Linked DNA regions of Drosophila melanogaster. The protein of the gene in region 1 interacts with the protein of each later gene in a pairwise test. Each region holds a gene or a part of one and is shown in the gene's direction. Other genes may lie near its edges. The genes, in order: CG9577 and mRRF1.

What was found.
Region 2: the proteins of CG9577 (region 1) and mRRF1 interact in a two-hybrid assay, tested with the Drosophila melanogaster proteins (one large-scale study listed by BioGRID).

What each region holds. Positions count from the first base shown.
Region 1 is NC_004354.4:20,164,904-20,168,739, forward strand, and holds CG9577 (uncharacterized protein), read left to right. Parts: upstream 1-1,769; 5' UTR 1,770-1,861; coding exon 1,862-1,913; intron 1,914-2,053; coding exon 2,054-2,216; intron 2,217-2,287; coding exon 2,288-2,912; intron 2,913-2,978; coding exon 2,979-3,077; 3' UTR 3,078-3,177; downstream 3,178-3,836. Other genes in the region: CG9581 (uncharacterized protein), read right to left, coding at 3,248-3,836.
Region 2 is NT_037436.4:9,362,596-9,365,997, forward strand, and holds mRRF1 (mitochondrial ribosome recycling factor 1), read left to right. Parts: upstream 1-1,754; 5' UTR 1,755-1,821; coding exon 1,822-2,586; 3' UTR 2,587-2,645; downstream 2,646-3,402. Other genes in the region: CG34456 (uncharacterized protein), read left to right, coding at 1-74; Klp67A (Kinesin-like protein at 67A), read right to left, coding at 333-439, 500-631, 778-1,597, 2,742-3,402.

The sequences.
Region 1 (3,836 bases):
TTGAGCATTTTGGCGGCAACAGTTTGAGATTCACACAAACAAATCGGGAATTTTATTTAGCCAATGATGAAGAATATACAAATATGCACATATAGTCTGTAGGGTTTATAGGGTCGGAGACGATTCTGTTTCTATAAATTCCCATCGATTGATTTTTTTTAACTCTTAATGGGTTTCTAAGAGTCTAATCTGAACACAATTTGCCAGTTAGCTTCTGTTGACAAGTGAAGCACGTGTCCCTTAATACCAAGAAGTTGGCGGCAACAGTTTGAGATTCACACAAGCAAATCGGGAATATTATTAAGCAAATGATCAAGAATATATGTATAACATATATATATATATAGTTTGTAAGGTTTATGGGGTCGGAAACGCTTCTTTGATTTATATACATTCGGCTAGCATAACAAAAACATGGCGGGTTTCAGTTGAAGATTTTGTTTTGTGGCTGTCTCAAAAAACACGTGTGCCAATTCAATGTAAAGTCCTGCACAAATAATTAAACAGTTGGAAAAACGCTTAGGGGCAACCCTACTGCCAGAGTTGGCAAGCGTCAAACTCTCGGTTTTATTTCTGTTTCTACGAATTTCCTCGAAAATTGCCGTAACCTGGGGCAAATGCGAATTGAATGAAAGTTGCAGTCCTTTATTTTCAAAGTATGTGTATAGGGGTTCTAATTAATGCCTTTTCAAGTAGATATATGTATTTGTGTTACAATTCATTGCACAATGCTATTTCATTATGAAAACTTACCAAAAAGCGTTGAATTCCCGAACTTTTTATTTGTGCTAAATTTTTAAAAATAACACTATTCACTGCTTTAAGCTTTTGATTTGGTTAAATGGGTTTGGTGCGGAGTTATTTTTGAAAACTTGTTATATTTATTTTTTTATTCCGAAAATTTCTTCTCTGACCTGTGAGCTTCTGCTTCGAGACTATGCACCTTTATGATTTTCTGATTTTTAGATTGTGGCAAGCAGAACTCAAATTTTCGATAACTTTGAGAAGTGATGGAAGCTGGGACGATACATCGATAGATTCGAGAATAATATCTGTTCATGGCAATTTTATGTGCGTCTTGTTATGTGCGTCAAGTTAGCGTCGATGAGTTAGCGGCTATGTCGGAACGGAAGAAAATGGAACATGGCATCGTTTTTTATGTACTTATTAATTTTTTTTCGTATTTTGAGGTGAATTCCAGGCGGCATTTTTAAATGCTTTAAGCTCCTCCCACTGCATTTTTCCAGGATCATTACCTAATTCGGTTTAGGTAAGCAAGGCACAAGAAATGTCCCTTAAGATGGGCTAGCGTGCAATTAGGAACAGGCTCTGCGAGTGGAAATATTCTCCAAAGAATGGTGAACCTGATTTTTCGATTGCGCATTTTATATACTTTCTTGAGTCCTATAAACTTAAGTCGTACATATATAGTTGGATAATTCTTATCTGAACATTCTAGCATTTTTATTTTTTGGAATACTCCTCTAAACAACGAAAAAATAAATAATAATACACATTCGCATTGACGCGAATTTGATGCAAAACTTTTTAAGTTAGAATCCTCCAGCCGGGTGGCAGCAAAACACCGTATTGATATAGTAGCCGAACAAATTTCTGCCGCAACGACTTGATTTTACCTACAACCCATTTATTGCAACAACTGTGTCCTTATGCAGCCAGAAAAATCCATTGAAAATCTGCTAGTGAAATATATCCAGTAGCTTTGATAAGCCGAGAGCCCGCCTTATTTTGAATATTTCTGCCGGGTGGCAGCACTGCTACGTATCGTTAAGCAAACAAAACAAATTTAGCTGCCGCAACAAGTAGATTTGATTTGAAACCAGTGAAAAGAAGGTTTATTATGTCGCTCTCCCGCCTGAACACTCTGATGAAACTAACGCCCAAGCCCACGGGTAAGTATCGGGGACTTCGATAATCCGACATCCAGCCTTCTGCGTTCGAAATTTGGGTTCGGTTCAAAGTCCGAACACCGGTGATTGAACCTTTGTCTCTTCATCGTTTTAAAAGTCCAATCAATTGCACTTCCCGTCAGCCATCGGATCCCTTAAGATGCAGAGAAACCTTTCCGCCCTCCCGGAATCCGGACCCACCGGCTCTTTCAAGACGCTGGCCGTCAGTTCGCCCAAGCCGTTCGTCTTTCATGTGGAGCTCCATCGGCCCAGCAAGTTCAACGCCATAAGCAAGCAGATGTGGCTGTGGGTTATCCAATAGCTTCCCGTTTCCTGTTCCGCAGACTGCTAACCCAAACTGCGTTACCCATTTCCAGGGAGATCAAGGAGTGCTTCGACGGACTGGCCACTAATCCCGACTGCCGGGCTATCGTTTTGTCCGCCTCCGGAAAGCACTTCACCGCCGGCATCGACCTCAACGACATGATAAACGTGGGCCAAACGCTGGCCGAGACCGATGACTACGCCCGCAAGGGCGTCTCCATGGAGCGAATGATCAAGGTGTACCAGGACTCAATCAGCAGCCTGGAGCACTGCCCCAAGCCGGTCATCACGGCGGTGCACAAGGCGTGCATCGGCGCCGGCGTGGACCTGATTACCGCCGCCGACATTCGCTACTGCACCGAGGACGCCTTTTTCCAGGTCAAGGAGGTGGACATCGGCATGGCCGCCGACGTGGGCACCCTGCAGCGTCTGCCCAAGGCAGTGGGCAGTCAGTCCCTCGCCCGCGAGCTGTGCTTCACTGGGCGCAAATTCGAGGCCGCCGAGGCCCACTCCTCGGGCCTGGTGAGTCGCCTCTTCCCAGACAAGGATTCCCTGCTGACCGGAGCCCTGGCCGTGGCCGAGCTCATCGCTAGCAAGAGTCCCGTCGCCGTAAAGACAACCAAGGAGAGCCTCGTGTACTCCCTGGAGCACACCAATCAAGAGGGCTTGGATCACATTGTGGGTATCCTAATATCTCAACGAATTTGCACGAGCTAACCACGCCTCACGCCTCACACCTTGCAGCTCCTGCTGAACAAGCTCAACCTGCTGTCGGAGGACTTCGCCCAGGCTGTGGCCGCCCAGTTGACGAAGGACGATAAGCCAGTGTTCGCCAAGCTGTGATCGGTAACCTGTAATATGTAATCTGCAATCTGACAGAATTTAAAATGTATTTGCCATGTGTGCATTTATAAATACAGCATCTGCCTTTACTTTAGGACCCAAATCAGCTCATAAGGTTGTCGGGAGAATGAAAGGCTTATGACTAGGAATTTGGTTTTCGTTGTGAGCTCTTAAAACGCCTCCGCGGATGAGGCACCGGGGTTCTTCTGTTGCTGTTTGCAAAGCTCCTGCAGGGCGCGTGGATCCTTGACGCACGCCTCAGTTAGAACTTCCACGTGGCCGTTCTCGTTGATGAGCAGATCGTCTTCGATGCGGATGCCGATGCCCCGGAACTCGGGCGGCACGTCGCCGCAATCCTGGCCAATGTAGATGCCCGGCTCAACGGTGAAGACCATGCCGGGCACGATGCGTGTGTTGCGTGGCACGTGCGGTGTGTCGTGCACGTCCATCCCAAGGTAGTGGGAGACGTGGTGCGGACAGAAGCGGTAGCCCTGGCTGACCAGTTCCTTGTACTCGCTGAACGACTTGCCCACCAGCCCGATCTCCTGCAAGTACTTGCCCAGCTTGTAGCAGGTGGTCTCGAACAGCTGGTCGAGCGTCTCGCCGCCCGGCTTCATCACGTTGCCAATAATCTCCTCCTGCAGCTGGTGCAGCATGTCGTACAGTGTGCGCTGCGGCTCCGTGAAAACCCCACTCGCCGGCCAGGTGCGTGTGATGTCGCTGGTGTAGCCGCCATACTCGCAGCCGGCGTCCATCAGC
Region 2 (3,402 bases), on another chromosome or scaffold:
GCGATCAAAGCTTCTACCACCGAGACGACAGACACAATTTGGATGAGGGCAAGGAAACGGCTGTATATTTTTAGTTAGAGCGCGTAACGCAAAGCTTTCTTTCAATTTATCAAAACAAATATAAAAAAAGTACATAAATAAATTCAAGGTTAAGTAATGGGTCAAAAGAACGAAAAAACGAACGAGCTTAGGGTTTGGAGGAGTTAGTGTTCTATCTATATATATGGTTATAGCTATGGTTAATTTGAACATGAATCTGTCTCGGTCCTGGCGGAATAGTTGTTACTTCAAGGCAAACACAAGTTGAAACTAACTGAATGAGTTCATGTTTTCTACTTCTTCAGGCGGAACGAAGCAGCACGATTGAATTTGACCAAAGGCGGCTCCTTACTGGCCGATCCCAGCGGTTTTCTCGCAAGCGTCGAGGTGCCTGCAAGGGCTGTCAGTAAAGAATTGCATTAAAATCTCTGATTGAATAGGCACAGTTTGCCGAACTCACCTTTGGCCATTAGCGCTCGTGGACTCTTGCGCACATAGTTGGCGTTGTATTTTACGTTTTCCTTGGCCAGAGAAGCAGCCGCCAACGTTCTCTGAAGTCCTTGCGCCGTAAAGTGATTCGACTTGAGTAGAGCTGCAATTAAACACCAAAGTAATGAGCATAAAGTATTTCCGTCATGCATAAATGATTATGAGCCATGTCCACATATTAACAAAAAAATTTCGCTGCGATGAAATAGTTTATACATAATGCATAACATTTAGAAAGCAAAACCTTACCCTTCTTGATCTTTTCATTGCCACCGCGCACATTCTGATCGGATATCAGATCGCTGACCAGTCGCTGTTGGACGGTTCGCGGCTTGGTCACCGTCGCCGTGAGTGCCTTCCTTGCGCTACTGCTGCTAGAAGTACTGCTGCTAGAACTACTGCTGCAGGGACCCAGGACCTGCGTTTCGTTTAGATTTCGTGGCCTCTTAAACGTCCTGTGCAGCTCCTCGGAATCTGATTCGGTGTCCTGGCTATCAAAGTCCTCCATGCTCAAATGCAGATCGTCGTCGCTCTGAGCCGCTTGCCTTTGTCGCTTTTTGGCGCTGGCCGTGAGGCTGCATGTGGGCTCTTCTTCCTCCTGGGCGCTGCTGCGCAGAGCCACAGGCACCGCCAACGGATTCATCTCGGCCATTTTGGTATTGGCCTCGGAATCGGCGAACCGCATCTTTCGCAGCAACCTTTCGAAGACCGCCTCAATTTCCGGCGTCAGCTTTTGACCATCCTCGAGGCGATCGTACGTCTGGTTGAGCACTTCGCAGGCTGTTCGGAAGGACTTTCGCATCAGATCCAAGTTCTCAACCAGCTCCTGGTTAATTGCGTTCACGTGATTGTTAAAGATATTCTGCTTGGTCAGCTGCAGCTCGAGATCCTTGTACTTAACGTATACAATGAGTATCTGGTAGGCCTTTGATTTGTTAACCTCTCGCTTTAGACTTTCTAGATCCTGGTAGGCAATCTCCATTTTACTCAGCCAGCTGGGCAACTCCTCCTTGTACTTCTCCATCTGGCTGGTCAGTGTGCTCATGTAGTTCGCAAAGCGACGGAAGTCCTGAAAAGTTTATAAGAAAAGGGTATTTATGGTAATAATACATTTTAAAATTAAGTAATGAGTTTTTTTTTTTCAAATAAACCCGCCAACGTAAGCGTTACGTTACGTTAACATGCCTTACGTTTGAGGTTTGTTACGACGAATCGGAAAGAAACAGCTGATGCTGCCCAATTGAAAATCAGTTCCGCATTTAATCCAAACAAAATAGATTAAATTTAAATAAAATGCTGCGAAGTGCACTGCATTTAGCTGCCCTAGGAGTGCGCCAGACGCGAGTGTCGAGCTCCTCACCGAAATTACCTCTAATCCTGCAAAATAATCTAGAAAACACGAAATATCTACAAGTGGCGCGCGATTATGCAAAGGGCAAGGACAAAAAGAAGGAAAAAGGCGGCAAGGGAAAGCCGGGCAAGGTGGAAATCAATGAGCAGCAGCTGCGCGAGATCCTCAATTTCGATGGCCTGAATAGCCAGATGCAGAAGTCCGTGATGCAGATGAAGGAGGATTTTGTGAAGCACCTGTCGCTGCGATCCACCAGCGGTGCCATCGACACACTGCGCATCAAAGTCGATGGCCAGGAGCACGAGCTGCAGGAACTGGCCCAAATCTCTCGCAAGAATCCCAAGACCATCATAGTCAACATGATTGGCTTCCCGCAAACGATTCCCGATGTCCTCAAAGCCATCGAAAAGAGTGGCATGAACCTTAATCCCCAACAGGATGGCACTACACTGTTCATACCCATCCCAAAGGTCACCAAGGAGCACAGGGAAAATCTATCCAAGAATGCCAAAGCTCTGTTCGTCAAATATCGCGATGCCATACGAGGCGTTCAGAACGAACACATTCGCAAGCTGAAAAAACAACCGGAACTTGGCAAGGATGATGCCTTCGCCGCACAGGCTCAGGTCACTGCCATCGCGGATCGCTTCATCTCGGAGGCGGACAAGTTGCTGGCCAGCAAGCAGAAGGAGCTGCTGGGCGATTAGGCCTAAGACCAAGACTGATTCCGCTCCAAAAGCCTTAATAAATGTAAATGTTTAAACTTAAAAACTCTTGAGATGAACTTCCAGAAATAGAAAAACACTAGATGAGCACAAATTTGGACTCTTAGTACCATTTGAAATCGAAAAATCGAACTCACCTCCTGGCACACTCGCTGGTCGACACACATCAGCTTCCTGAACTCCTCCAGTTCTTTTTTCAGTGTCTGCCGGTAGTTGATGTTCTTGATCTTGCTACGCATACCAAGGACGTGCTCCTGAAGCTGCCGGGCGGCCGCATATACAGCGTCTATCTTGCTGTACCACGTCTTAAGCTCCAGCGGATCGAATCCACTATTGCCGGCGCGCTCCAACTGAGTGGCCTTGGCCTCCAGCGCCTTGTTGCGCTCTTTGAGTCGCTCGTTCTCGGCTACCACCTCGTCGATCTTCTTCACATAGAACTCGGTTGGCATCTTGGACTTGAGGACATTCTGTTTCAGAGTCGTGCGTATCTTCTTAGCTCGGCTAGCGTACTTAAGGGTGTTGTAGGTATCTTCATAGGTCAGTGAGCTCATCGAGACATTGGCCACCATCAATGTGCGACAATTTCCGCCCAACGAGTCCTTCAGGATGCGTGTCAGGTTCGAGTCGCGGTACGGGATGTGCTTTAAGCCGTCGGCTAGCTTGTTTATGCAATTTCCCAAAGCTAAGAGACTTTTGTTGATGCTGGCGCCTTCCTTGAATCGCACTCCAATGCCTTTCGTACTGGCCGCCCTCTCACTGCCCGCCAGATCGATCATGGATAGTTTGACCGTTCTTTTG